Cricetulus griseus: one gene and its partners. The protein of the gene in region 5 interacts with the protein of the main gene of each other region in a pairwise test. Links are inferred from orthologs where the notes say so. Each region holds a gene or a part of one and is shown on either strand. Other genes may lie near its edges. The genes, in order: Rflna, Fabp1, Adamtsl4, Casr, Flna and Hspb7.

Region 1 (5,066 bases), on a different chromosome or scaffold from region 5:
CAGCGCTGGGGAAGGACATATTGTATTTCACATTCCTGAGAGGCCTCCCACCTACATCCTGTGAAACTCCGTGACACAGACCCATTTCTGGTCAAGGGACCCCTGGGTGAAATTTCTTGTGGGTTTCATTCAGGCAGCCAAAGCCCCAAGTTCATTCCTAGATGACATATGTACAGGCTGTATGCTTTTCTAATAACAGGGTTCAGCCTGCCACTCCACTGTGATAGCCCCTGGTGGCACCTTGCTCTCTCTGCCATAGGGCCTTTGCGTCCTGCTGTTCCCTGTACATCCTGCTATTCCCTCTATCTGGATGTCTGGTCAAGTGTTACCTCCTCTGGGAAGCCCTCCCTGATTGACTGGCACAACTGCCTGGTGGTACCTTTGTTCAGCCCCAGCCTGTATCACCTGGTGTATTATCTCTCCCCCACCTACTGAGTAGTTCTAAGGACAGGCCAGCCAGCTGCACCTGAGTCCAGGTCTAGGCACACCTGCCAGCCAGAGAACTTGGCCCACCTACAAGGAGGACGAACCTCCAGGGGCCACTATGAAGCTGGGGTCTCTCCCTCTGTCCAGCAGATGTGGGGTAGATGGATTAGCAGAGGTCACTTGTCCCCTACGCTGTATGCCATCCTGCCAAGTAATCTGTAGGTATCTGGGATCCTGTGTCCAGATGTAAGGCTGGAGGCAGGCAGTGGTGGGATGCCCTCTGGTCCCTGTCAGAAAAGCAGGCAGAATGGGAACTGTGTGTTCAGCTCCCATGGGAGATAAAGTGGGACAAGGTAGGCAGAGCCCTGTCCCTGAATGAGACCTTTTAGAGCAGTGGTCCTCAACCTTGGGGTCACCACCCTCTGGGGGGATCAAAGGACCCTTTCACAGGGGTCACCTAAGACCATCAGAAAACACAGATATTTATATTACAATTTATAACAGTAACAAAATTACAGTTATGGAGTAGCAATGAAAGTAATTTTATGGTTGGAGGTCACCACAACACAAGGAACTGTAATGAAGGGTCGAAGCATTAGGACGGCTGAGAACCAGGTTTTAGAGAAACCCAACAACAGCAGGTGTTAGGGACTTCTGGAAGTCTGCTCCCCCCATCCCCACCCCTTGGGTAACTTCCTAACCATCTTTGTGTCTCCATTTTCTTCCAGAAAATGAAGATCAAAGGCAAGCAAGCATTCACAGGCAGAGTTGGAGAATTAAACATACTGGTGGGGAGAAACGACTGGAATGAAGGGAGTGCTATCTACACACCAGGTGTCCTTGTTACCTGGGCCAGGTGGCCCCGGGCAGGCGGGCATTGCTGCCCAGACAAATTTACAGAAGCTAAAGGAGGTGAGCACTCTGGTGGTCCCAGGGGCAGATATTGATCCTGGGTCCTTTGATCATTCGGTTCCCCACTGTAAGTACCCCCTCCCAACTCCCCGCAGGTTGCTGAAGGTGCTTTTCTTGGAGATTCAGTCCAGGTGAGGGACTCCAGCAATGGCACCACTGGTGGCTCAGCGTTCTTTTTGAGGTGACTCTGGACTCAAGTCAGCATTCAACACCTCCGGGGTGGGGTGGAGGTGACTTTTGCAGGCTGGAGACCTTGCAGTCCTCACCCTGCCCTGGCCGGGTGGGTGGTCAGGGCGGGAGCGAGAGGCGCAGGAGGAGGAGGGCGGGGAGGGGGCGGCGCCTGGGAAAGGCGGCTCAGCTGGCGGCTGGAGGCGTTTGCATCGGGAGTGGGTCTCAGCTGGAGCCGCAGGCCAGAGCTTTCTCGTCTCCCCTCCGGCCCAGTGGTGGCGGGGACCCGAGCTGCTGGGGCCCGCGCCCCGTGCCCGCCAGTCATGGTGGGTCACCTGCATCTGCAGGCCATGGGGGACACGCGTGAGCAGAGCCGCGACGGCTTGCTGGACAGTCCCGACTCGGGACTGCCCCCGAGTCCCAGTCCTAGCCCTCCCTTCTACGCCCTGTCGCCAGGCACCCTAGATGCCCGAGCCACCACCGAGCCCCCAGGACCCAATGAGGCACCAGCGGTAAGACGCGGGGACCCGGCAGTGGGAGGCCCATGCAAAAGCCAGCATGGTCTCCTCCCTCCTGAGGCAGACAGGGAGTTGCACCAGACTCACCAGGACCTGTAGGCTGGGAGTTTCAGGGTGGGTTGCTGGTGGGCTAGAGTACAGCGTAATGTCCTGGTGTTCCCAAAGTCCACCATCTGCAAAGGGGCCTGTTGTGGCCATCTGTCTGTGGGTTCCGTCCCTGCTGCTGTCTCCTGTCCTGTTGATCCATCCTGGGGCTGGACCCATCCCGGGGCTGCTAAATGGAGACAGTTTTGAAAACGCAGCTCGGCCTGAAAGCCTCCACGGGCTTTGTCTTGTGGGTGTAGAAGCGGAACTGCCCTCAGAGCGGAGCTGGACCTAGGGGCTGCTGGACCGGCTTTGCATGGATTGCTCTGGAGATGGGGTAGAGGGAGAAACTTGAAGAAAGGGCGGCTGAACACAGCAGAGGTTACACTTGAACCTTGTGGCAGACCCTGTCTGTGGCTTGATATCTTCCACATGGATGTGTTAAGGCCTTTCCCGCCAAGGTGTGCAGAGTGCAGTAGGCATTTGAACTTCTTTAAGCAAGGTCCAGCCTGCTTCCCCTCCAGGCATTGACATAGTCCAGGGCACACACAGTTCAGGGATCTCAACTTTTATTTAAATCTCCCCAAGAGACTCGAGCACTCAGGGAAGTTGGAAGCCTGTCTTGAATTGAACTTGCACCTCTCTTTGGGGAGGGTGGGGGGCTGGTCGAGGACTTTAGGAGTAAAGACAAATGAGCAATGCTGTTCTCAGGGAAACTTGGGGACAGACAGGCCAGCACTCCTGCAGCTGTGGATCACCTGGTGTGGGCTGCATGGTCCGGAAGAAATCTCAGGGTGTATTCCGAGAGAGGTCAGAAAGAAGGGACCAGGAAGATTTGCTCCAACTCTCTGTGACCTAGAGACCGCGTCTGCAGGGAGTTCTGGATGCATACTGTGCCAGCCATAGGTGCCATGAGAACAGCATGTCCGGCTGGTTGATGCTGCGGTTATTGTTTCCATTCCTGGCTAAGTAGGTGCCAGCTACAGAGCTATACTTCCCCAGTTCTGTGACTTTGTATAGGCAGGGAAGCCTGGGGCCATTGGGGCCCAGGTAATGAAGAACACCTGATATTTCCCTCATGCCAGGGATGGCTCTCTCTCTGCCAGTGAGTACTTGTTTGCCCCTGACCTCCATTTCCTGGAGGAAGTCGAGGCACAGAAATGGTTAGGGAGTTGCCCAAAGCTGCCCAGAATAGAACCTGGGAACCTGGTTCCAGTGTGCCTTTAAACCTGCCCTGGTTTTCACAGTGTAGCAAATTAACGACCTTTAAAATTTTTAAACTGAAAAACAAGTCGAATAGCTATGGGGTCAAGGTGCTGCTTTTAATAAAGAGAGGAAGTAGTAGCCATGGCAACCTTGCCTCAGGTTTGGGGCTCCAGCTGGGGCCCCACCCATCTACCAGTTACTACCCACCAGGTTACTCGCCTCCTTGAAATTCCATTCCTTCTGTGCTCTGTGGTTTAATGGCCACCCTGTCCCCCTGCTTGGGTAACTCCTAGGCCCAGGTGTTGGCAGGCTGACAATTGCCAATTGATTGATCTATTGCGTGGGATAGAAGGCTATCTCACATCTTGGGGTCCTGTGCAAGGAAGAAGCTATGTGAAGGTGGTCACATGTCCCTTGGCTCCTTCCAGCATCAGTGTCATTGTGCAGAACTGTCATTCTAGTGGGGAGCTACATTCACTTCCTTTGATGTGTGACAGTGCCAGGAGCGATGGGCAGCCATGTAGGGGAGTGACGACGACAGAAGGGCAGGCCTCAGAAAACCAGAGCAAACCAGGGAGTGGATTACTATTGTACAGGGCTGAAATGTGTCTCAGTCTGAGAGGGTGGCATGTGCCAGTGTCCTGTGGCAGAGACCAGAGAACAAGAGGAGGGTCTAGGTCAGGAGGCTGGAAGCTAATGCTTTGTTTTTTGTTTTTTAAATAGGCTTGTGTCTTTTATTTTATAAAAAACAGTACCATGAGCTCCCAGGATCCCCAGATTAGAAACCCCAATCAGGGATGTAATTGAAAAGTGCATATGAAGAGTACAAAGTGACCTTTTGTGTGTGTTTGGGGGTTGTGTGCTGCCTTCCCATGTGGCCCCAGGAGAGCAAGATGCATTGGCTGGAGCAGGGACCATTTGGCTGCTACCTTTACCCCAAGAATGGTCAGCCATCCAGGCAGGGCTAGATGAAAACAGACTGACCCTAGCTCTGTCTGCCACTCTGGGTTCCAAGCTGGACTTCTACACCAGGTGATACACATCAGGTGCCCCCCCCCCAATTCCATCACAGCTGTTGTGTGTGGGATAGGTATGGCGGGGAGCCATGTCCTGCTGGCTGAGGAAGGCTCCCAGCACTTACAAGCAGTTTGGGCAACTGCTGCCTGCACCCCACCCAGGTTTATTGCCCCTGGGGCGGGGGGGGGGCTGCAGATGGCTTTTGGGATCTGACCTGGGGGACTCTCTGGGTGTTGAATGACAGGTGACAAGAAGTGGAGTGGGGAGCCACTGCTGTGGAGACTCCAACTCCCTGGTTTCTCCTGGTTGATTCATAAGAGTCAGTATTGCAGGGTGGAGTGTGCTTCTGATGTCACTCTGGACCATCCAAAGGAGCTGGCTTCCTCCTCCCAGGTGGGTGCATAGCTGGGCTCTGGTCCAAGGAGAGTGGGAAGGGCTTGATATAGATGCCACTACTTTGGGGCCTCTGCATTTTCATTTCTATGAAGGCTTGTATGAGAGATGAGGTGGCTGGTGCCTGGAGTCAGGAAGGATGGAAGGACAATGGACAGATGGACAGACTGAAGGAAAAATGAGAAAGTAGATAGGTGGATGGACAAGTTAACAAGTGGATAGAATGCACAATAAATTGGCAGGCAAAGAGGACTGGGCTCAACAGACCCATGGCCTAGGTGAGGTGTCTTGTAGAAGGGCAGGAGCGCGCAGGGTGGGTGAAGCCTGCAGAGGAAGTGGGGG
Region 2 (5,301 bases), on a different chromosome or scaffold from region 5:
CTCAAGACAATACGTATCAACTACGTGGAACATAACCGATCCTCTTAAGTGGTAGAAGACACTGACAAAAGTCAAGGTCTCGGGGAGGAGAAGATGGGAGAATGAGAGATATCAGACACCTGTCCCCCACCCTTTACTTCTCCATGCCCCTCAAACACCGGGATGGCAAGACCAGAGTGCCAACTTACATTGGTGATGGTGTCGCCGTTGAGTTCAGTCACCGACGTCATGCCTTTGAAACTTGTCACCATTTTATTGTCTCCTTCCATCTTAACCACTGCCTGCAGGGAAGAGAGATCATGACCCGTGAGGAAAGGTCTAGCGATGAAGCTAATGAGGTTGCTTCCCTGTGTGGTAACAGCTGACGGTGAGTCAAAGGTCCTGTTCATCTCCAGTTCTCTAGTGCTGAATGGAAACAGGGGTGTTTATGAATGAAAGAGAATGTCAAGCTTGCCTTAGTGGTTCTCTTGGGGTGGGGGTGGGGGAATCTAAAATAAAATGTAAAATCCCATTTTGGATCTTATGGAGGGAGGTTGTAGCAGAGGCCCAGCCACCAGCAGCTGTGGGGACAGTTTGCTTTGGTAGCTGTTTACCCTTTCCTATTATGGTGCCAATTCCAAGCCTTAGACATCAAAGATGGCAGTAAATAGAAGCACAGCTGTGGCTGGGCACAGTGCAGCGCTTATAATCCCAGCATCCAGGAGGCAGGAGCCGGAAGATACTGAGTTTGAGGCCAGTGTGGGCTACATGTCAAGATGCTGGGGAAGGGGGGGGGAGAATAAGGATAAAGGAAGCAAGGGAGGGATGGAGGAAGAAATCTAGTCATGAACAAAAGACACAAGGTCAAAACTCGGCCTCCACAATGGGCCGTTGGAAAACCCATGACACCCCACCGCTGGCCATGAGCAGATCAGGAGAATCCCCTCCACCTTTCACCTTGACGTGCAAGAAAGGCGGAAGAAGTAAGCACAACCTGAAAAGGTAAAGAGACTCCTGCTGTGCCTGAGGCACAAGGCCGCCAGGAAAGGCAGGTGTAGAGAGAACAGATGCACAGCCTACTGACTACCCTGGGCTGTGCAGGCTTCATAGGGAGGGGCAGATAACAGGACCCACAGCACCTGGATCTCTCTGCTATTACCTGTCACCACTCACACAGCCCACGGCCAGCTGGCATTGCTGCCTGGAACCACCACCCCGAGATGAAGCTGCCCTGGCTCAGATAAAGGTTTTCACTGACAGTGATTTCCCGGCTCTCTCCTTGGAGGACTCGGAGCCAGGAGCACTGTTCCTGGGAGACCATGTGACTGAGGATCCTACTCTGTGCCCATTTTCTCCACCTCCTCCATAGTGAGAGCCCAGAAGCCACGAAATCCCTGAGGCAAGGAGAAGTTTCTTCTCAGAGCTCTCTCAGTCTCCTGCCTGAAGTGGGTTCAGCGACATGGTCTCTGTTAGGAGAATTTTTGGGGAACAGGAGGCGGGACTACATACCTTGACCTTTTCCCCAGTCATGGTCTCCAGCTCGCATTCCTCCCCCAAGGTGAACTCGTTCTTGACCACTTTGGGCCCATAGGTGAGGGTGAGTTTGACATGCTTCCCGTTGTGCTCGATTTCTGAGATCCCCTTGATGTCCCTCCCCTTCTGGATGAGGTCATCAGGCAGACCTGCAAGAGCCCATGTAAGTTAGAGACCGGAGAAGAAGAGGGTTCACTGCAGGTTCCCGAGGCCCCACACACTTCTATATAGCAGACCTGTGAGCCTTTGGCCTCTGAGAGGGAAAGTCAGTGGCCTGCAACTATCTTCCCACTTAGTATTGTTAGTTTTTGAGCCAGGGTCTCTTGTAGCCTAGGCTAGCCTTAACTCATTATATAGTTGAGCATCTGATCCTCCGGCTTCCACCTCCCTCGTGCTGGGATTACAGTCATGTGTCTCCATACGGGGCTTATGTAGTCTGGGGATTAAACCCAGGGCTCCGTGTGAGCTAGACCAGCACTCTAGCCACTGACCTGTGATAAAGACCCTCATTTGCCTGAGGCCCTTTCCTCTGCGGCTTCCTGCTTTTTACTTGCCCTCCCTCCTAATTTGTTAGTGGCCTTGTTCTTAGGGTAGGAACACTTCATCCTTCAGGATGTTTATCTTCCAAATCAAATGGTCCCCCACACAAAGTGGGACCAGGCCAGGCAATCTTGCTATGGCCTCTGGAGTCAAGGCTCTTGTGGGTAATGAACGAAAGTCCTTTGCCCTTGAATAGGGCTTTGCAGATTTCGGAGCAAATCTGTGCTTTTACGTGAATGGAGATTCACAGCAAGAGTAGAGAACCTGTCATACAACTAAGGGGGTCCTCAACTTCGTGAGCTGTGACTTGTCTACAAAAGAAGCTCTGAGTCCTGGGATGACCTGAGTGTCCTGTTTTCCCTGCTCTTGCTTTTTCTCATCTCCTGCCTGTAGGCACCCTCCTTCATCCACTTCCTCTGCCCACAGGGCTGTCTCTTCCTGGAACATACTCTTTTCTCCCTGGTCCCAAGCCACCACAAAGTCTTCCCTCCTGTACCCTGGGGGAGATGTGGGGTATCTAAATAGGGTCTCTGGGACCCAGCACCTTCTTCTAACTCCAACTCAAATACTTCCTATGTGGTGACCCTTGTCATAGCCACTTCCCCTTTCTTGGCTTCAGTTGTCTCAACAGTGATAACTCAGTTTTATGGTGAGTATTAAATGTGGGCATTGCAGTACCTGGTATAAAGTCATACATATCAAGGGACACTTCATTGCATTTATCTCCAAATAGTTGGTCACTACTGTAGCTTTGTCTCCAAACATTGGTCAGGGTTGTAGCCTATCACATTCTGTCTCCCTGGTGTTTGTACAAGCACAGTGCTTGAGTTGTGGTTGGTCTTGAACCAATATTTACCAGAAAAGTGAATGAATGAATGAATGAATGAATGAATAAGGCCATGAACCAGTAGACACACGTACATCATTCCAGTTCAGTGTCATCTCCACAGCTCCCAGTGACCTTGTCCAGTGAGGAAGAGACCAGGAAAGTCACTATAGCACGCCTCAATTTGGGATAGCCTGGACCCTTCTTCCACCTCAATATCAGACCTTGACTAGCTGCTGATGGCAGGGCTAGACCCTCTTTCTCGTTGCACCAGCTCTGGTGTCCCATCCAGCACTCACCCATTGCCTTCATGAAGGGCTCAAAGTTCTCTTGGCTCTGCAGTTGGTACTTGCCGGAGAAGTTCATGGTGGCGATGAGGCTTCCTTTGCACAGCTGACCACAGCAGCTCTGTCTGCCAGGCCACCCACTGGTGGCTATTTTATAAGGGGCTTCTTCCTCATCAAATATAGGCCATAGGTCAGTGGTTGTCGATTTCTTTATGGCCAGGTTCAAACATTAACTCCTGAGAGCAATGGTCAACGATAAAAATCAGAATGGGCAAGGCAGAGGTTTGTTCTAATTCAGCAAACATTAGTGAGTGCCAATCAAGTGCAAAGCTCTCTGTAATGTTGCCTTTATGGTGACTTATCACCACTAATGAAATAAGTGTGTGTGCATGAAATGTATGTGCACAGATGTGTACGTGCCGCAGATATAGGTGAATCATGTCTCTAACAGTGTACACATGCATATATACACATGTGTATGTGTTTTTACACTTGTGTGTATGCATATATTTATATACATGTAGCTACATATGTACACACACATATATGTGTTTATGTATATATGTGTGTTACATGGGGAGAAATACCTTTAAACTCAAACCTTTTTCACATAACCTTGTATTTGTTTCTCAACCTTTTATTATTAGACAAACATAATTTTACAAACATGTCATCAGTATTGTATCCTGAGAATTCTTCCTCAATGATTCCAAGTATTTCCACAGTCCAGGCAGACCTCCCTTTTGAAGTGCTAACAGGGCGTCTCTGTCCGCAGATGCTTACATCTCTACAGCATAGGTGTAGAAATTTAGATGTGTTATGTTTGGTAAAGACAAGTAAAGGGAAGGAAGAAGGCATTGCCTGCTGACTTGCTCCATCCCTGCCTCAAGGCAGGAGCAGGGAGCTGAGTTGATACATGAGAGTGTGGTCTGACCGGAACAGGCCTTGGGCAGAAGGCAGAGGGATGCTTCATCCCCTATGGAGATGCTGACCCGCCCCCCCACACACACACACAGTTCTTGTGTTTGAGGCAGTTCTCAGCAAGTGCCACTTCACACCCTATTTCTCTATTCCATCTAGACTTTAGCACCAGCCTCTTCACCCATAGCCTTTAGTTCTCCGTCCTCTAGTCCTCTCTACTATGAGGCTACATAGACTGTTTATACATCAGAACCTGGGGTATGCCATGCCTCAGTTTTAAACCTCTGATGGCCCCTAGTGCTCTAGGGCTCACAGGTCCTGGATGACACAGAAGATCCCTGTGTCCACTGTCCTGGCTGTGATGACTACTCTCAACAGAACTTGTACGTCGTTATCATGAGCTCCCCGCTTTGTCTTGGAAAATGTCTGTCAATGCCTAGACTTCTAGCGCAGCTGTTAGGCTTGCAAAAGCCATCTCTAGTCAGACCCCCTTTCTCTGGAGGTCACAACCATAGGGCCAGCCAAAGGTGTCAGGGGTGTCTTCTCTGTGTTGGAATTTGTGTCTCTTCTGCTCTTTCTCCTTCTCCCAGCTAATGGAGCGCTTTATAACACTCCCCACCCATCCTGCCTCCTTCATTCAGCTGGGATGACTTCTGTACATTCTGTCCTCACTATGCTCGATTCCAATGCCTGGCACATGGGATGAGCTCAATCAGTGATGGGTCAGCAAAGGAAGAAACATCAAAAGATAACGAGGCCGCGGCTCTTGTGGTTAAGAGGTAATGAGAGATATGCAATAGTCAGCTCAGCAAACCAGTCCTGTAATCAGTGAATCATGAGGCCAGGAGCAAAGCGACCTGAGGGCGAGAGTGAATATGCACATGCGCATGGGCATGCGCGCACATGTGGCTGGGGCTGGGCTGAGAGCCAGTGGGGAAAGATGTGAAAGGGATGTCAACTGTTGCTCCGGCTGACAGCCCGCTCCTCTCTTCCCACCCTTGGTGTTCTTTCTCTTTTCTCTGCAACTCCGCTCTGTCATTCCAGCCTGTGCTGAGCCCACGGTGGGAGAGTTTACATAGCATCCCCTCTGTTCATGGACAGTTCCCGCCCACTTGCGTCATAATCACCAAAAAGATCAAATGCTTATCCAGTCCATCTGTACAGCAGCTCTCTACTCCACCTAGAAGCTTGTTGGGTTGCGTTATCTACCTCTAG
Region 3 (5,152 bases), on a different chromosome or scaffold from region 5:
AGCCTTGTGTGTGTGTGTGTGTGTGTGTGTGTCTGTGCGCGCGCGCGCGCGTGTGTATGTTCTTTGACTAAAAGAGAGGAAATTGGCAAGGGAGATGGGTGGGCCAAGCCTGGTACACAGGGCTGAAGTCTCCCGTGGGAATGTGAAGCCTCCCGATAGGGCAGGCTAGGGTAGAGTGGAGGGACCCTGAGCAGGGTAGCAGCCGATCACTTAGCTAGGGCTCACCTCCTGATTCCGGCAGAGCTGAAGAAGAGGCAGAAACAGCATTACACATAACCAGAGCCTGCACACCAAGGGGGTGGGGGACTTTAGAGGGAGCCAGAAGTGTTACAACATAGCCCTCCCCCACCCAGGCTCCCCACATCCTGGCTGCCAACTTCTCAGGAAGCAGAAGTTCCTTGTCACTTGCCAGGCCCCTTCTAACAATCCCTTACCTTCTCTTTTTCTTTTTTTGGTTTTCCAAGACAGTGTTTCTCTGTGTAGCCCTGGCTGCCCTGAAACTCTCTCTGTAGACCAGGCTAGCCTCAAACTCACAGAGATCTACTTGCCTCTACCTCCCAAGTTTAAAGTGTGTGCCACAACTGCCGGGCCCCTTCCCTGCTCTTACTATTAGAGACTGACAGCCCTTGCTCTTACCTGCCCAGCCAGGTCTCCATTGCTCTCCCTTGACTGCCCCTGGGCTGGGAGGCAGGGGCAGGTTAGCTACTCTGGCATCTGGGCACGGAGGATACTCTGAGGAAGAAGCACAGTGGTTACCCCTGCAGATTGCCGGAAGACTAAAGGGCTGTCCCAGCACAGCACCAGCAGAGTGGAGGGAAAACTGGTCCACCCCTCTAGGACCTAAGGGTGGGAGCAATAAGGAACACTGTCTTTGTCATCTGCTGAGTCAAGGGTGGGGGTCTGACCTCAGCCTTCCAGTTCAGTTTAGTTCCCTCCCTGTGGCCCAAGATGGACTTAGCTCCTCTGGAGGCCCGAGGAAGGGCAGGGTGGAGGAAGGGGGAACCAGGAGGTTCTTCCTCCCAGAGCTCCAGGACCTAGAGGAGGCAGGCTATGCCAGGTACCCCTATGAGGTACCAGAGGGCCCTTGACACCAAGTGTGGGGGCAAAAGCCTTAATCCCACCATTTGAGTCGGGGAGCAGAAGATCCAGCCTGGGTGATGCAAGACCCTTATCTCAAAAAAAAAAAAAACAAAAAAACAAAAACAACAACAACAACAAAAAAAACTCTTTCCCCCTTAAAAAAAAAAAAAGTAAAAATAAAAATAAAAAACCCGAGTATTTGTTTCCTACCTGCCTCCCAGACCTTTCTCCCTCTCTTAGATAAAGCTCCTTATGAAGGAACAGCCAGGCACATCTGGGTGACCACAGGCACTTTTTTGTCCAAGGGATAAACTAAGTGGGCTAATGGCTTCATCTTTAGAGAAGAGGCGGTGACTTAACCTCCCTGTGGGTGCCAGCATCCACGAGGCCTTGGCTCGTGGCAACCTAGTTCATGTACAGCTAGTTTTCTTCTTCTTCTTTTTTTTTCTTCCGATGTTCAGCCAAAATGGCTGGGCACTTAGGAAGGAGAGAGATGCAGCCATAGCTGCTCATCCTTCCCAGTCACCAGCTTCGCCTTCTGGTATACCCGGGAAGTCCACCCTGAAGTCTAGCCTTGAATGCTGTAGAGAGGGGCTTCCATAGCCTGTCTCTCCCAAGGCCCTGTCCTCCAGCCCCCTCCTTCTCTTTGAGGCCCTTCCCACCCACACCCCTCATCCCATCTCAACTCTGCTTTCCAGGAAAAACACTGTTTCTGTTGGATCTAAATGGCACCACCAGAGGAATCCAAGCATTGCTGGCCAACACAGGGCCAGCTCAGGGCAGGCAAAGAACAGAGGGAAAGCAAAAGCTAGCCAAACCCCCACTCCCGGGACCCCAGAACTTGGGAATTTGAAGACAGGAACAAAGTGGCTGAGCCCTCTCCTTCCCCTTGCTGGGCCAGCCACTGAGGTCCACAACAGCCCTGGTGGAAAAGGAGCCATGTTCAACCCCTCGAAGTTGGAAGAAGGAGTGATGGGCACCACCTGTCTCTCTCTTGTCCGATGCTGGTCCCCTCTCCACCTCCTGCTTCTCTCTGCTCCCCCAGGTCTGTCCCTGCTGCCTCTCCGTGGTCTACCCAGTACACATAATCCTGTCCTGAGCTGGCTTTGGCAGCTCCCTGGAGAAGTGAGGGGTGGGGGGTGATGAGAGCTCCTGGGGCCAGGGCCAGGCCTGGCTCCCTCTCTGGAAAAGTCCACCCCACCCTCCCCTGCATAGGGAAGCAGGAGACTCCCCCTCCCGGCACAAATGCATGCTTGTTGTGCCAAGGGTGAGGAAGACAGAAGTTGGAGGTGGCCACCCTGAAGTCAAGGTGGACTCTGGTAAGGACCAGCCTAGGCTGCTCCTGCTCACACCCCACACTGGGCCGTTGACAGCAAGGAAAGTGACCTGTATGGAGCTAACCCCTTCACCCTTGGGCTCGCCTCGGGCAAATGAGCTAGGAAGAAAGGAGCGCTAGTAAGGGCTGGACTGGCAAAGGGGAGTTGCTGTCCTGTTAGAATTCCATCCCAACAGGTGTCTGTCTTTCCCCCCAACCTCTCCCAAAAGGCTGTGCTGTGCGAAGAGCCCCACCCGCATCCCTCCCGGACACCCTATCCCTGCGTTCTCGGAGTCAGGCGTAGGGGTGCATCCTCCCGAAGCCCCTCGGGGAGGAGCGGGTGGCGCCGGCTGCAGGGAGGTCCCGTATGTTTTCCAACTTCACTATGTGACTTAATAGGAATCTTGGCTCAAGCCCTCGCCCGGGTAATGGGACCAGACCCCCTCCCCAGGAATTCGGCCCAGGGTCCGCTGTTCCGTGACCATCAGAGCCCAGGCGGGGGTCGGGGAGGCTCTACCTTCTCTGCGCCCGCTCTCTCCAGCTGCCCTCCTCGGCCGCCACCAGGGCCGGGAGCCCGGGGACAGCGCCGCCCGCCCGCGGCAGGCTCCTCCCCGTGCCGCCCGCGCCCCGCCCGCCACGCGCCGGCCCCCGACGGCTAGAGGCCATGCGGGCATCGTTCCCGCCCCCACCCCAGGGTTTGGGACCCCACCGACCCTGTCAGAGCAGCCTTCGGGTGGAGCTTGTACACGAAGAGCACGGGCAAGGGGGATTTACAAACTGGACCCATGTGGCCCTCCTCAAGCTGAGATCCACCGAAGCCGAGGCCCTCTCCTCCACGCAGCCCGTGCCATCTCCTCCTCTTTTCCCATGCTGGGCAGTGAACCGTGTGGCTCTGATGGCCGAGGATGTCTGTGAGCCTCGGTTTCTTCATCCATAAAATTTTACACCCCGGAGCTTAGCGGAAGGAATGCACGTTGAATTATGAGTCAGACAAATTTGGATTTGAATTTCAGCTCGAGAGCTTGCCAGCTCTGTGGTCTTTCACTAGCACTTCAACATCAGTGCGGCAGCAGTGTCGTCTGTAGAATGGGAGACTTTGATGTGTATATTAGGCTTGGAAATGTTTGTCCATCTTCATGTGGAATAATGACTCAGAAGGAGTGCCCGAGTGAAGAAGAAGGGATGAGAAAGAGTTTTACCTTTTTATGCTTTTTATTCTATTTATATTCTGCTTGTACGTCTTTTCGTAGGTAGATGTTTGTTTATTTGTTTGTTTATTTATTTTGCTGTTGTTGTTCGTTTTGGTTTTTCTGAGACAGAGTTTCTCTTTGTAACAGGTCTGGCTGTCTTGGAACTCACTCTGTATACCAGGGTGTCCTCGAACTCACTAGATTCTCCTGCCTCTGCCTGTGCTGGGATCAAAGGTGTGTGCCACCACCACCTGGCTTGGTTGTTTATTTTTGAGGCAGGGTCCTACTATTAAGTCCTGAGCCACCTGGACCTCACTATGTAGAGATCCACCTGCTTCTGCTCCTGGAAGTGTTGGAATTAAAGTCGTACACCACCATATCAGTCCAACCTTGTAAATTTTTTTTGAAAACATACTGGGCATGGTAGTGCATGCTTCTAATCTCAGTTCTTGGTGGACTGAGGCAGGAGGACCACTGCAAGTTCAAGACCAGCCTAGGAAACGCAGCAAGTTCTAGGGTAGACTGGCCTACAGAGTAAGTTCCAAGACAGCCAAGGCTATTACACAGGGGAAACCCTGTCTTGAAAAATCTAAAAAAATAAAGCAAAAACACCCAATCAAGGTTAAAGAGATGACTCAGCCATTAAAGGCCAGGTTCACAACCTAAATGTCAAAACACACAAATATAGAAGTTTTAGCAACATTGTCTTGTGACCCCACAAAACAACAGAGGCCCTTGGTGCCCCGCCTAACACTTCTTGTATAGCTCTTGCTGAGGGCATAGAAGTTAGTCTCCATCCCGAAAGTGCTCAGTCTAATAGCACAGACCCTGCCAGTGAACATTGACCACTTTGGAGTTAATATGGGGCTCTGTGGACGCAGGAGCTATCTCAAAGATGATGGGTGTGTCTATAAAACAGTCCTGGGGCTGGGGATGTAACTTAGTGAGCTTTACACGCAGGAAGCCCAGTTTCCATTCCCAGCCCTGAAAAAGGCAGAATGCTACTGTTTGTTTTTGAGACAGGCCCTGTGATAACAATAGGACAGGTTGATGGGAACTCACTGTGTAGCCCAAGCTGACCCCAAACTTGAACTCTGGCTTCAGCCAGCTGAGCATGGGATTACAGTGTTGGGATAAGCCAGGATTTTTAACCTTATTTGAAATTTAACCTGCATATTTTGTTTTCTCAACAAATCCCTACATTCCTTCAGGACAAGTGCTGCTTACACATTTTTATTTTTCAGGCTCTGTATCATGGTTTGCAGAGTTACAAGAAATATGTGAATTGGTGGCAATAAGTGTGATCCTAGCATTAAGGAGGCTGGGGCCTGCAGAAGCATTGTGGGTTCAAGGCCACCCTGGAGAAGGAGGCTCAAGAAAGGGAAAAGAGGTTTGGAGTACTTGCAAGGTCACTGGGTTCCATTCCCAGCACCCACAAGGTGGCTCACAAATGTAGTCCAGTTCCAGAAGATCCAATGCCTTCTTCTGACCTCCCTGGGCACCAGGCATGCCCATGGCACATTCCAGGTGGTTGTTGGGAAACAAACCTGGGTCTTCTGCACAAGCA
Region 4 (5,247 bases), on a different chromosome or scaffold from region 5:
GGTTGAGTTCCTGCAGGATGGAGACTGCTCATACACATTCTGTAAATATTTGTTGGGGGGAATTAGAGTATGCTCCATTTCAGAATGTATGGGACAGTGATTACGCTTCTATTTTTATGGGGAAACATGCTTTATTTCCCTCTGAGCTAAAGCTGACAACAGGGAAGGAGAAATGTTGAGGCAACAGAGTTAGGGGTAGATATTTTTGGTTTGAATGGTGAGACTTTACTCCTTTTGGCAAAAATAGAATGTCAGTTACTAAAGGAGTGAACTGGGAAAAAACAGAAAAAAAAAAAAAGATCAAGTTGTATCCATGCAAGTTATGTTTAAAAGAGTACTGGAAGAGCAGTGAAGGTCTCATTGATGTAAAGTAAAGGTCTCAGAGACCTCAAGTGCTCATGATACGGTGCTGCAACTACGTTTGTGCCACAGAGGACACTGCTAACATGCAGCTCCCCAAACCTGTGTCTCCTCCTCCCTACCTCTGGTGCCCATCTAAGGAGATGTCAGTTGGGCTGGAGAGATGGCTCAGTGGTTGAATGGTTGAGCTGTTCTTTTCGAGAACCTGCTTTCGAGAACTCCCAGCACCCATGTTAGGTGGCTCACCACCACTTATAGCTCCAACTCCAGAAGATCTGACACCTCTGGTCTTTGAAGGCACTGGCACATGTGTACACGCCTACACACACACACACACACACACACACACACACACACTTAAAAATAATAAAATTAAGTCTTAGAAAGGGAGGCATCAATACCTGGGGGATGTAGAAGAGCCCCAGCAGGTTGGCTACTGCCGTGGAGACCCCTGAGCCAGTTGCTCCCACCACTGCAATAGTCGAAGGGATGTGCTCTGAGCAGTTGCAGAATTCATCCAGGTTCAGAGAATCGATTTTGTTCTGGGCAACAAAACTTAAGGTGGCCTCCAAGGCCTTGGAGACAGTGTTACAGGTGTCGAATATCCTGTATCCCAGGGTCATGTTGGGAAGAAGGGCAGGGCTGCTGTTTATCTCCTCGATGGCAAATATCATGGCTTGTAACCACCGAAATCCTCGGAAGTTGTACCTGGAAGAAAGACATGGAAGTAGTGGGAGACCTTGGTCAGCTGTTAGCAGAAGGGCTGCCTGAGCTCGGCTTGAATCTGGGCTCTATCACTCTGCAGTTTTGTGATGTGCCCTTTGAGGGTCAAGGTCCTCTTGTGTGAAAACAGGAACAACGTTTTCCAATTAGGCTGGCTTTGGAGATGTCATGAGATAGGTAAAATTCTTAGCACAGCATGTCCCTTTGAATTAGGGAACAGTAATTAAAGGACTACGTTGGTACTTAACTGAATAATTTATAGCTGCATTCTCTAGTGTACCTAAGGCATGGCTGGGTGTGGTGGTGCATGCCTGTGTGACGGCAGCACTTGGCAGGTTGGAGCAGAAAGGCTGTGAGTTTCAGCCAGTCCTGAGCTTCATAGCAAGTCCTTGCCTTGGGGGAGAAAAAGTCAGCAGAGGACTGTAAATAGATTAGGATATCAATATGTAGGAGCCTAAAAACAACCTCAGGTTTGCAGATTTGTCACAAATTTAGACAGTGGCATTCCTGGAGCTTAAAGTAGAAAGCAAAATGAACCCTTTGTAGGTAAGTATTTGAAGACCACATACAGATGGTGGTATGAAATGCCTTAAGAATTGTAATCTTACTGGGTAGAGGTGGTGCATGCCTTTAAGCCCAGCACTTGGGAGGCAGAGGCAGGCCTATCTCTGTGAGTCCGAGGCCAGCCTGGTCTACAAAGGGAGTTCCAGGACAGCCAGGACAGTTACACAGAGAAACCCTGTCTTGAAAAACTAAACAAAAGAATTGTTTGCTTTGGATTAATTTATAACTTATAATTTCTATTGTCCTTATGGCATGAACAGAAATGCAGTTTTCTGTTGATCTTTCACTTTCATTTTCCAGCTATCAGGAAGTTCAAGGGGAAACACTGGGTCCCTTTTAAGAAGCTTCAGGTGCAGAGGGAAAATGCTGCTCTCTGAGAAGCTGAGTCACATGTGACGTGAACTCATGGCCTCTGAGGTGTCTCCCATCTAAGCGAGGCGACACTGTGGCAATCACATCCTACTACTGAGCTGTCTGTGACTGCATGCCACATCCTAAAGGGATCACAGTCAAGGAGGGAGCATCAGATGGGGGACAAATAGAATGGTGAGAGCTTCAAAAAATCACATGTAAGAGGATGAGAAACTGAGACTATTGGCTTGGAGAAGATTTAGGGGGACATATTAGCTGCCTCCAGATGTTCTGAGAGACCTCAAGATGCCTACGAAATGTGATGTCCCATCTGCCAGGTATGTTCTCTGTGTGTGACAGAGTCAAAGGTAGGCAGTGAGGGGAGTAGGACAGAGGAAGGAGGGTCAGCTTTTTATGAGAAAGATGCTTTAACAGAAAAAGGTTCCAAATGCAATGGACTGTATTTAGGAAGTGCTTGCTTGAGTGTTAGTGGCTACACTCTTTAACTGAATTCCTTTATTAAAGGTGACCAACAACAACAAAAAAGGGTGAAGCAGCCAGTGTTCATGGATCACTGAGCATATGGGTCAAAGAGAAATTTACTATGAAAGTTTGCAAGAGCTAAAATGGACTTCCTTCTATACATTCTTTATTTTATTAGTTCAAATTAGGAACAAGCTTGCTTCAGATGTCAATCCCTTCTCCCTCTCCCTCCCCTCCCCCCCAACATCCCACCTGCTCTTAGCCATCCCCCCTCCACTCCCCAGGCCCTTCTATATATTCTTAATTACTTAGTTGATGAATGGGTAGATTCATTAATTTTGCAGGGTTGAAGATAGAACAAGTGCATTCTAGAAAGAGCTGTAAAACTAGGTTAAATTTCCAGCCCTCTGTTATCCTTTTTTATTTGTTTGTGTTTTTGAGACAAGGTCCTGCTACTGAGACAGGATCTTTCTATGTAACCTGGAACTCTCAATCCTCCTGCTGCACTGCTGGAATAGCAGTATGTACCATCCCATGTCTTGCACTGAGCAATATGGTGCTCTGGCTACGAAATGTCTGGTCCTTGGCCGGCCTGGTGTTTTCTATTCAATACCCTTGGTATTTGTTTTGTTTTTGAAAAATGACTTCTTTAGGGAAAGGAAAGAAGAGTCAAAACACCTCATCATGATAACCATTGTTTAAAAAAAAAGAGAGAGAGAGAGAGAAAAGGTTTTTAATGTTCTTTTGGGCCCAGTGCAGCTTTTCTCCATCTACCCAGAGATGGACAGACCCTTACAGCTTTCCCTTACCTAATGCACTCCACGGACTCTGGTCTTGACTTCAGATCTTGATCTTTGGCTGCTACTCCAAAATGGATAGGAAAGAGACCCCCAAGGATAATGTCCCCCTTCTTCTGGGCTCGCTGGTCAGGCCCATAGGCAGAAGAGTGCCAGGCGAGAGCCAAGAGGGCCAAACAGCAGCTATAAGATGCCATGGCTCTGCCTTCTCTCTGGGGGGACAGTAAAAAGTGCTAGTGGTCTGGGGGCCCAAGAACTTCCCCCTTTGGTGCAGTTCACGACTTCTGGGGGGGACACATGTCTACAAAGTGGCTAATGACAGAATAGCAGTGATTGCATTTGTTTCTCCATTTCTGCCTTCTCCATTGCAGAAGTGTAGGGTGGTTGGTTCTGGAGTCCTGAGTGACATCATGTAGCGACTGCCTCAGATGCTTTCTGAAAAAAGAGAGAGGGAGACAGAGACAAAGTGGATTCAGATAAACCTACTTCCCATCTTAGTACAATGACAGAGGTAGCCGGGAATTTCCATCTAGAGGGGTTGAGGGGTAGCATGTTGAGAAGCATGGCTTAGGGTCACAATTTGCTGTAATGTAGCTGTTCTCTGTGAGACACAGAAAATTTCAGTTGCCTGTATTGCAGAAGGACTGCATCCAGTTTTGAGAGGCCACGGTCTAAAGAGGCCATCTGTAAGTGTAGCCTGCTCTGCAGCTGCTGACTGCAAACACTCATCCTTTTGCATGAAGGATGCATGGAAATGTCCCAGAAGTAGCAGCTCCTTCAGTTAAAATACCAACAATACTCTATCCCCAAAGAAAACACAGAACAAGTTACATTTAAGTTCAAATCTGACTTCAGATCAAGAAAGAATGTCAGAAAAGACCAGTCATTCTTCATTTATTTTGATAGCTCCACACCCTTTAGTTAAGATATCTGTTTCCAGTTTGTTATGTAGTAGTTTACAAGACTGTTAAGAACAGTTCATGTGAAACACAGCCTCTTCAATGGTGGATTGTAACATAGAGGGTCATATGATTGGATGTGGGGGACCCTGGAAATTTTGACAAGGGCTAGCAAGATGGCTCAGTGAGTAAAAGTGCTTGCTATACAAGCCGATGACCCGAGGAACTGAGTTCAATTCCTAAAGGGGAGAATGGACTCTTAAACATTATTTTTTGATCTTAATATGTGGAGTGGCAAACATACCCTTCCCTTGTTCAATTTTAAAAGGAAAACAAATTTTGGCAATAGTAAAGACTTTATAAAGAAGTATTGACCAGAAATTAATTCTAGATCAAATGCATGATGAATCTGAGTGCTTCTGGCAGCTCTTGCCCAGGCTGCATCGTGTGATTTCATCACAGACTTGGTTCTGAACACACAAGTACCTTGGCACTAGCCTGCTACCACACTGAGTGACAACCTAGCGCTTCTGGAAATGCCTCTGTTTAAGATAGGTGTGTGTATGAACTGCAGTGTTTCATTACACATATGAAGTTTTCTGCTCTTAAACCCAATGGCTTAGTAGCAGAAAACAGATGTTTAGTAAGTTCCTATTGTCATTCCTTTGCGTGCATTGAATCATTGTCTCTTCAGATTGTATTGTGTCAGAAGGTTTGATTCTTAAACTTTGTCATTTAAGTTGATGGCTTGAATGCCTTTTAAAAAACAAACAAACAAAACCCCACCATTCAACAAACCTGGCTTGGGGTTGGGGCATATTTTCAATAATTTCTGAAATGTCCCTAAACAGACTTCTGCCATTTTGTACTACATATTCATACAACGTGGAATGCTCAGCATTGATGATTATAAGTCAAATATCAAAGAACTCTCAAGAACGTTGAAGATGAGGCATTGTTTTTAGCTGAGATTTAATTTTTATGTAAAAATAAACAAACACACCTTTCTCATTAGTATGCAAACTTCTGTTGTCTTTAATAAATGTTAAAATTATATGCATGGTAAATGT
Region 5 (3,623 bases):
ATCAAGAATACTTAGGAATGGCTGGGCATTGGTAGCGCACGCCTTTAATCCCAGCACTCAGGAGGCAGAGGCAGGCCGATCTCTGTGAGTTAGAGGCCAGCCTGGTCTCCAGAGCAAGTGCCAGGATAGGCTCCAAAGCTACACAGAGAAACCCTGTCTCAAACAAAAAACAAAAACCAACCAAAAAAGAATACTTAGGACCAGAGCACTATGCTTCCTTCCGTAGGAATGGGTATCCCTCCTTCATTGATGAAGAAGTATATACACTCTGTTGTAAGAGGGAGAATCTTTGTAATGGTGCCTTATTTTGTGCGTTTGAGACCAGCCTAGTCTACATAATGAGTTCCAAGCCAGCCAAGGTTACATAGTGAGACCCTGTCTCCAAAATATCAAAATAAGCCAAGCAGTGGTAGGGCACACCTTTAATTCTAGCACTCAGGAGGCAGAAGCAGAGGCAGATGGATCTCTGAGTTGGAGGCCAGCCTGGTTTCCAGAGTGAGTTCAGGACAGCCAAAGCACCTCAAACCCACCTCAAAAGCCAAACACTAAGAGCTGGTATTATTATGTTCATGGTATCTAAGAGACGGCTAGGCCTTGATGCTATTTCTAAGACAGTTTACCTGATCATCACTGCTAGCGATCACCAACTAGCTAGCAATTAATCTTAATGCCCCACATTTTGCCTACTTGATCCTATGCCATTCTAGGTACATCATATACCCATCTCTGTGAAACAAAGAGCAAATACAGACTGTGCTACCTGGAGATCCCACAGCCTATACCTATGCCTTGTTGGTACCCTTGCCAGTTTGGACTTCATCACTCTTTCCATGAAAGATACAGACACTCACAGGACAATGGAAGCAAAATTTTATTCCTCTTGTCTGGGAAAGAGAACTAGCAAGTGGTTGTACATAGAACTCCCACCCTCCCAGAACCAAAGGAGTCAGGCGCTGCCACCAAATGGCTCCCTTTACCCAAGTGAAAGCCCAGAGAGGCAGGTGAGCACAGCGCAGGGCAGGGGAGACTGCAGTGACAGAGTGGCCAGAGTGATCTAAGGGAGGGCCCAGGGCTCAGGAAAGGAAAATGGACTTCTTGGGGGTGGGACAGGTGTGAGGTTGCTCTTTGCTATGGGAGATTCTGGCTGGCATAGTTGTCAGGCTCAGGGCACCATAATGCGGTATGGGCTGCCTGGGATATGCTCATCACCCCACTTGACCACCAGTGTGTACTCCCCTTTGTCCTTGAGCAGGTAGGAGACACTGTAGAGACGGCTGCCCATGTGTTTCACCAGGATCTCTTCACAGGGTGTCCTTGGGCCATGCACCCCCACCAGCAGCATGTTGTTACCTGAGGTAGGAATAGGCCTCAGTGACTAGCCTTAACCCCTTCCTTCAGCTGTAATTGCTCTGAGCCCTTCTTCCTATTCTACATCCTGTTCCTTGCCTGTTTAGAACAATACCCCTTCCCAACAAGCTTCTCATACCCCACCTAGGCCACCAGAAGACAAATCCCAGGTCTTCCAGGACATTTTCTTCACAGACACAGACAGACAGACAGACAGACAGACAGACAGACACACACACACACACACACACACACACACACACACACACACACACACACACGTACGTCTTTTAGACAGGGTTTCACTGTGCCTTGACTGTCTTGGAACTAGCTCTGTAGACCAGGCTTGCCTTGAACTCAGAGATCTGCCTCCCATGTGTTGGGATTAAAGGGGTGTGCCACCACCAACTGGCAATGCATTTTACATGCATTGGTGTTTTGCCTACATGTATGTCTGTGTGAGGGTGTTGGATTCCCTGAAACTGGAGTTATAGATAGTTGTGAACTGCCATATAGATGGGTGCTTGGACTTGAACCTGAGTCTTCAAAAAAGAAAGGAAGAAAGGAAGAAAGAAAGGAAGGAAGGAAGGAAGGAAGGAAGGAAGGAAGGAAAGAAAGAAAGAAAGAAAGAAAGAAAGAAAGAAAGAAAGAAAGACTGATTATATAAACTGGGCAGTGGTGGCACATGCCTTTAGTCCCAGCACTCAGGAGGCAGAGGAGGCAGGTGGATCTCTGAGTTTGAGACCAGCCTGGTCTACAGAGTGAGTGCCATATAGGCTCCACCCTGTCTCAAAAAAAAAAACAAAATAACAAAAAAAAACCCACAAAACCCAGGTCCTCTGGAAGAGCAACCAGTACTCTTAACCACTAAGCTACTTCTCCAGGAAGCCCAAATATAAAGTAGCCCCCAAAGCAACAATCATACCCCTAAGTTCCTGTACTTTCCACATGTTGACTGTCTTGTGATTTCTGACTTTGTACTTCCAGAGCTAGAAACAGGGATACTTACCTGCTTTGCTGCAGTCTACTGTGAAGCTGCTCTTCTGGCCTACATAGGCCTTGCTCAGCCCCAGGCCTTTGGCTACTACCTTGCTGACATCAGTGGGACTTGGGCCTGAGGTTGCAAGCTGGGGAACAGTGGCAACTTTTGTCAGGGAGTCCACAAATACAGATGTTGTCTCATGAAGACTGTGGTTACTAACAAGACGGGGACCTGCAGGACAGAATAGGTGAAACTGAGAAGTAGCTAGAGAATATCAAGGCATTGAATGGGCACCAACAGCTTAGCCTGGGGCTCACCTGTGACCTTGGCTTTGAAGGGGCTTCCCCCAATGTGATAGGGCCCACCATACTTGATGGAGATGAGGTAGCTTCCGGGTGCCATAGGGGTATAGGTGACACGGTAGCCCTCAGGGCACTCCTGGCAATCCATCTTCACCTTGGAGGGGCCATCAATGGTAACGGAAAGGGCACCAGCTCCTGCATTGCTTGTGTTGACGATAAACTCAGCTGGGCTCCCTGGGAGCATGGAAGGTCAGGCAGAGTGTATGTCACTGGCTCTCCTGTCTTCAGCCACCCAGCACAGCCTTGATACTTCCACATGCTTCCTGTTGCTAAGAGCTTGGATGCAGGGCCCTAACAACTGCATCCACACTCAGAAATATACCCATGAACCTACCTGTGACACCACCTTCCAGGCCTGCTCCATAGGCGGACACCAAGCCTGGGTCCCCTCCATGCCCAGGCTCCCCAACTCGGATCTTGAAGGGACTTCCAGGGATATGAGTACCATTGAACTTAACATCAATCAAGTAGATGCCATTCTCTCGTGGGATGAAACGCACAGCATACTTATCTGAGATGCAGAAGGACATGTCATGGGCCTAGGGTACTTTTCAGTATTTAACAAGCAAATGGTATCTAAAAGGAATAGCCTTAGTACTAACCATCCCTTTCATTTTTCTTGCCACCAGCAGGAACTCAACTGCTCCATGGAGACCCCTCTGCTTCCAGAACTGTACTGGGTACCCACCCCAACAACACATACATCCTGAGGACTAAGATTATAGATACCTAAGAAGTCTACTGTTGAGTCCTTTGGACTGACAAGCAAAATGCCCACATTGTTGCCTCCTTAGACCATGTACTGTTAATACCATGCTAGCAACAGATTAGCAGCAGGTTTAGCAAGGAATTTGCTTCAGGTCATGGACCTGTGGGGAGGGGGAAAACTAGTATGCTTCAATAGAACTGCTATTCCTCTAGCCACAGGGATA
Region 6 (5,254 bases), on a different chromosome or scaffold from region 5:
GTGACAGGTAGCCCTGGTTTGGAGACTTGCAGCCCTGGGGAGGTGACAATCATGGTTATCTCTCTGGCTTGCCTGAGGCAGTCCACCTAGGCCAGCAGCCCTGCTTGTGGCCAGCTCCTATATTCCACTTGCCAGGAGGGTCGTCCCTGGTCCCCTGCCCTGCAGAGATGTTTCTCTGTCCACTGATCATTTGCTTAGCCCTCAACTTTCTCCCCAAGTCCATCCTTCAACCCCTCTCTTGTGAACTAAGACAGGGAGATCCTATCTGAGAGAGAACAAGAGGGTCTTGGGACTGCTCCTGGGTGGAGAGGAGGGCCCTAGTTTGGGGGGAGGTTGACCCACCTGGGGCCTAAGAGTGTGTGGAGTGACTGGACCGGGCTGAGATGTTCTGGGGGCCATCGTCAGGGGTCAGGATGACCTCACCAGCAGGCCAGTAGAGGAGATTCGGGGAGGGGAGGGTAAGGGTGGGGAGACCCTCAGATTTTTATCTCCGTCCGGAAGGTCTGCTGGACGTGTTCTGTGTGGGGGTGGCGCCGTGCCCGGATGGTGAGGCTGCCATCCTCTCGAAGGGCCGAGGTCACCGATGTAGGGTCCACATCGTCTGGCAGTTGGCACTTGTGAGCAAAGGTGTTCATGACCGTGCCATCAGCTGCCAGCTGGGGGAGGGATGACAGGTCAGGAGTGGCTGTCCCAGCCCTTGCCCCATCCTGGGTCCTGGTCATGCCCAAATCAAGCCAGAGTCTCTGCTTTGCTCTCTGTCCTGTTACCCCACTGCTATCAGATGTGAAAGAGCTGGCCAGAGGTGTGCGGTGGCCAGGAGCCAAGGGCTCTGCAGAGGGGCTCCAGAGGTCCCAAGGGGAGCTGTGTGTAAGATGGGTTAGGTGGGGCTCTGTAAGGGTTGAACTTGCACAGGAGTAGCTGGAAGTCTGGGACTCTTGAGCCGTGGTGGGTAGATGACACAGCTGTGCCCTCTGGATCCCCAGACACCCTGAGTGTCCACCACCAGGGCCACCGCCCTCCCCCGAAGCCCAGCCAGCACATAGTGTCCATCGGAGTCTTCTGGCTGAGTCACCCTTGAGACGTGGGGCTGGCACGTGCAGCCAGTGGCCCTCAGTCCTCGAACCCCTAGCGGGGCTTCCTAGTATCCTGCCCTAATTAGGGGAGCTAGCCAAGCTTGGGAGGTGGTCAGGGAGGCCTTGGCAAATGTCCTCTAAGAATCAGCATGGTCCTAAGGACTGCAGCAGCCACTGTCTCGGCTGGCCATGCATTCTCTGATGATCTAGCTACCCTGAGACTCTGACTAAGGTACGTGGGGTTCAGGGTGGGTGTGACTCTGAGCTCCGTGGCTCCTGCTCAGCCTCAGGCCCAGTGTGGAGGTACCACAACAGGGCCCACGCTTCTGGCCCTGGGCTGAAAGAAGGGTGGAGGGTGCCATGAGTGGACTGTGCTGCCCAAGTTGGATCAGCCACTGCCACCTTCTTCTACCTTCTGCCAAAGAGCTGTCCTTACTCCACCATGGTCACTTCCCTTCTCTCCTCACCCACTCATGTCTCAACCGCTCAGGGTCCCTTCTGCTCACATCCCAAGATCCCTCTGTCATCCCTGGAGGATCCCCAGGTGCCATGACATGGGCTCCAAAAGACAGGTTCTATGAACCTTAGGTTGGAGAGGGCCATGAAGGTCCGTGGCCTGTGAGCCCACCAGGAATGGGCTGCAGTTTGTCCCGGAGGCGTGCAGACAGGGAAGGAAACAGTGGTCAGTGGAGAAGACGGGTGAAACTAGGGGACACAGAGCCAGCTAGACCAGGCAGAGTTCCGGGGAAGGTGGGGACCCTGGGGGGGGGGGCAGGACCAAGACTTACCTTCTCAGCCCGCACCTCAATATGGTTGTTGGAGGTGGTGACAATAATATCTTCAGGGGAAAAGTCTCTCATGTCCACCGTAAACTCATAGGCGTCGCCAAGGGTCTTGACACTGCCTTGTCCCCCAGGTCGGGCTGTGGACAGAACTGCTATAAGCTGGGCACCTAGCAAGCCCCGAACCTGAAAACCTGGTCTCTGCTCTTCCCTTGGGGAAATGAATGGCTCTCCTAGACAAGAGCCCCTCTCCTCACTCCTGCAGCTTACCTTGAGGGAGTTGGGGGTGGGTGCGAGCCTCACTCTATTTAATCTGTAATCTATACATGCAGATCTCTCCTTTATCCAAGGCCTGGAAGCTCTGGGGGGCCAGCCACCCCTCAATCTCAGCTATCCCTCTAGGGCTCCCATTAGGACATGGGCTGTGTGGGACTACTGGATTCACATCTCACCCCTAAGGTCACCATTGTCCCCAGGAGGCCCACCTGTATCTTAACCATATATATCTGTCTTGGTGGCCAGGTCTGTCTTGGCAGCCACATGTACCTAGAACCCATGCAGCACCTATTCCTGGCAGGTGGGGTGGCCACAGCCTGCTCAGGGAGGCCCTGGAGCAGACGCTCCTATCTGTGTCTCTCCCCTCCCCTCAGAGCCCCAGCACTTGCCTGGGAAGGCCAGGGGCTCCGAGTGGGGCCTCATGAAACTGCCAAAATCCTCTGAAAACATGCTCAAAGCCTTCTCCATGGGTGGGTCCTGAGCTGGGAGAGCCCGGGAGGCTGAAGAAGAAGAAGAGGAGGAGGAGGAGGAGGAAGAATGGAAGCTTCTCTCCGCTCTGAAGGCGGAGGAGGTCCGGTGGCTCATCCACAGGCAGCAGGGACCCTGTCCAGGCAGGGGCTGGGCTGGAGAAGCGTGTGGGTGCAGGCCTCCAGGGAAGCATGCCGGGGCCCTGACTGCCAGCGCTTTATAAGGCCTGACTGTCCCTGGGCCCAAGGCCAGCCCCTTGTCTGCTCGCTAAATTTAGGCCTCTTCATGGCCCAGAGGGGCCTGGAAATCTTCTTGGGAGAAATGGCCCTGCTGACAGCCTGACACACAAGGGCCGGGTTGGAGGGCTGAGCTCATCGCCTGGTACTCCAAGCCCAGAGCTCCAGCCCCAAGGGCCTCTGTAGTGGCCAGGGCAAGGGCAAGTCTTGCTCTATGCCTGCCCCAGGACTTTGTGGTTTGCTGTTTCCCTCCCTAGCCAGGGACCTGACTCTCCTCTCAGACTGGTTCTCAGGGCCTGTGCCTCCCTAATGAGACTCCTGAGGAGAGGGCATGTACAAGAGCCCTGCTGACTCTCTGTGAGACACCTGCAGCTCCAGGTTCAGCTATCTCCTCAGAAAGGTTGAGACAGCCCAGGGGGCGGGGCTAGAACACATAGGTGGCCCCTGTCAACTCCCACAGGAACCCCAAATCTACCCCTCCCTCCCGTCTCAGGTCTAAGAATCTGTTGTAGCAGAATAGAAGAAAGCTGGCAGCTGGAGGTGGGGCTGGCGGGGTGGGGGTGAGGGGATTGGGCCCAGCTTCAGGGAAGGGGCAGATAATTTGATAATTATCCTAAAAGGTCTAGGAGGCTAAATTGCTAGCAATAGTCCCTCCACCTCAGGCTCAGGGGAGTTGCCTGCCCAGGATCGTAGTAGTCACAGGTCAAAGAGAACACTAGGGACTCCCAGGGTGTCCCTGGGTGTTGCTGTCCCTTCCCAGCAAAGCCCTTTTCCATCTTCCATGGCTCAAAAAGAGGAGTTTTTAGGTCAGTTTCTAGACCAGGAAATGGAGCCTGTCCAGAAGGGAAAGACTGGGCCTGAGCACGTTAGAATGGTTGGGGTTCCACCCGAGATGTGCCCGACCCTTGTGTCCAAGAAGCCCCTTTCTTTTCACTGACTACTAAGTAGAACTCCAGACTCTCTGATGCTGGGTAGGAGGCAGAAGCCAGGAGAGACACTTTCAGGGGGCAGGTGGCCCACCAGTCCATCAAGCAGTTTTGGAACACAAATCTTGTGCTTTCTCCCCATATAATCACCCAATCCTCTCTCCCGTGGAAATCTCCAGTTGCTGCAGCCTACAGGGGCTCCTTGTGTCCTGAGTCCCCAATACTTGACAGTGTGACATAGTCTTTGTGCGTTCTGACACCTCTCTTGGTACCCCCTCATCCCCGCTCCTGGGTCAGGATCACCTGTCTCTCCCCCACTAACCCAGAGTCCCTGGAGGTGAGGGCTGTGCCTCTTGTTTCTGGGTTCACAGAGCTAACTAAGACTGGATCTGGTGCTATGGGAAGTCAGGACAGGACAGGGCAGAGCTGGGGGGTCAGAGTGATGGCTGGAGCTAAAGGTGGCGTGTGGAGGCATGTGGCATGTGTCACCCCTAGACATCTCCTGGAACTGGAGTTACGAATAACGGTGAATTACTCATGTGGGGGCTGGGAACCGAACCGGGGCCTATCCTGGGTGATGGGCAGTTGGCAAGGCTTCAGAGAGTCACTGGTATTGAGGAGAGAGGAAAAGAGGTAGGGTCGGGTGGGGAGCCCCCCAGAGCAGCCTGCCAGGGAAACAAGAGCCAACAGCTAAATGCAGACACGCTGTCACTGTCACGGTGCTGAGGGCCTGAGTCACTGCTGCTGGGTGTCAGCTCCCTTCACTCCCCACACCCGCCCACCGTCCCCCTCCTTTCCCCCACGTCCCTGAGGAGTCATCCATATAAATATTGAACCCTCTGGCTTCAGTGGCCAGGCAGGACCTCAAAAGGTCATGGAGGTCATTCTCTGACTCCAGGCAAGGTTCTGTCAGATCACAGAGACAGGAATCCAGTCCCTAGATGGGTGTGGTGACGCATGCCTGTCATACCAGGAGGATCAGGAGTTCAAGGCCCGTCTCGGCTTCATAGGAAGTTGGAGGTCATTATTTCTGAGATCCTGTTTGAAAAGAAACAAAAACAAAAACAATGGTCCCCAAAGGTCTCTCCAAAGCCCAGGGAACATCACAGGAGAGGGACAGAAGGGCAGTGGGAGTGGAAGGACGGGGAGGGAGGCATGTGATGGCGTGTGGAGGCGTGTGACGGCGTGTGGAGGCGTGTGGTGGCGTGTGGAGGGCATGTGGTGGGCGTGTGGAGGCGTGTGGAGGCGTGTGGAGGCGTGTGGAGGCGTGTGGAGGCGTGTGGAGGCGTGTGTGGCGTGTGGCGTGTGTGGGCGTGTGTGGGCGGTGGTGGCGTGGGGTGTGGCGTGTGGAGGCTGTGGTGCGGTGCGTGTGGGAGGCGTGTGGCGGCGTGTGTGGGCGGCGTGTGTGGAGCGTCGTGGCGTGTGGAGGCGTGTGGCTGTGCGGCGTGTTGCGGCGTGTGGCGCGTGTGCGGCGTGTGGCGGCGTGTGCGGCG

The links.
Region 1: the proteins of Flna (region 5) and Rflna interact in a two-hybrid assay, tested with the Homo sapiens proteins (2 studies listed by BioGRID). The two-hybrid records come from large-scale screens. The link is inferred for Cricetulus griseus from reciprocal best matches to the Homo sapiens genes FLNA and RFLNA.
Region 2: the proteins of Flna (region 5) and Fabp1 interact in binary tests that used the Homo sapiens proteins (3 or more experiments, as listed by UniProt). The two-hybrid records come from large-scale screens. The link is inferred for Cricetulus griseus from reciprocal best matches to the Homo sapiens genes FLNA and FABP1.
Region 3: the proteins of Flna (region 5) and Adamtsl4 interact in binary tests that used the Homo sapiens proteins (3 or more experiments, as listed by UniProt). The link is inferred for Cricetulus griseus from reciprocal best matches to the Homo sapiens genes FLNA and ADAMTSL4.
Region 4: the proteins of Flna (region 5) and Casr interact in a two-hybrid assay, tested with the Homo sapiens proteins (2 studies listed by BioGRID). The link is inferred for Cricetulus griseus from reciprocal best matches to the Homo sapiens genes FLNA and CASR.
Region 6: the proteins of Flna (region 5) and Hspb7 interact in binary tests that used the Homo sapiens proteins (3 or more experiments, as listed by UniProt). The two-hybrid records come from large-scale screens. The link is inferred for Cricetulus griseus from reciprocal best matches to the Homo sapiens genes FLNA and HSPB7.

Annotation. Positions count from the first base shown.
Region 1 is NC_048597.1:104,631,191-104,636,256, forward strand, and holds the start of Rflna (refilin-A), read left to right. Parts: upstream 1-1,799; 5' UTR 1,800-1,829; coding exon 1,830-2,018; intron 2,019-5,066. UniProt on the Homo sapiens protein: Involved in the regulation of the perinuclear actin network and nuclear shape through interaction with filamins. Plays an essential role in actin cytoskeleton formation in developing cartilaginous cells.
Region 2 is NC_048601.1:62,890,841-62,896,141, reverse strand, and holds the start of Fabp1 (fatty acid-binding protein, liver), read right to left. Parts: upstream 3,245-5,301; coding exon 3,178-3,244; intron 1,662-3,177; coding exon 1,489-1,661; intron 282-1,488; coding exon 189-281; intron 1-188.
Region 3 is NW_023276806.1:60,816,442-60,821,593, reverse strand, and holds the start of Adamtsl4 (ADAMTS-like protein 4), read right to left. Parts: upstream 3,336-5,152; 5' UTR 3,109-3,335; intron 3,033-3,108; exon of another isoform or gene 2,913-3,032; intron 2,198-2,912; 5' UTR 2,064-2,197; intron 733-2,063; 5' UTR 657-732; coding exon 637-656; intron 284-636; coding exon 226-283; intron 1-225. UniProt on the Homo sapiens protein: Positive regulation of apoptosis. May facilitate FBN1 microfibril biogenesis.
Region 4 is NC_048597.1:53,490,437-53,495,683, reverse strand, and holds the start of Casr (extracellular calcium-sensing receptor), read right to left. Parts: upstream 3,476-5,247; coding exon 3,291-3,475; intron 1,069-3,290; coding exon 762-1,068; intron 1-761. UniProt on the Homo sapiens protein: G-protein-coupled receptor that senses changes in the extracellular concentration of calcium ions and plays a key role in maintaining calcium homeostasis.
Region 5 is NC_048604.1:1,487,303-1,490,925, reverse strand, and holds the end of Flna (filamin-A), read right to left. Parts: intron 3,203-3,623; coding exon 3,026-3,202; intron 2,866-3,025; coding exon 2,647-2,865; intron 2,561-2,646; coding exon 2,357-2,560; intron 1,351-2,356; coding exon 1,163-1,350; 3' UTR 848-1,162; downstream 1-847. UniProt on the Homo sapiens protein: Promotes orthogonal branching of actin filaments and links actin filaments to membrane glycoproteins. Anchors various transmembrane proteins to the actin cytoskeleton and serves as a scaffold for a wide range of cytoplasmic signaling proteins.
Region 6 is NC_048595.1:11,830,322-11,835,575, forward strand, and holds the start of Hspb7 (heat shock protein beta-7), read right to left. Parts: upstream 3,215-5,254; 5' UTR 2,717-3,214; coding exon 2,521-2,716; intron 1,996-2,520; coding exon 1,862-1,995; intron 657-1,861; coding exon 477-656; 3' UTR 1-476.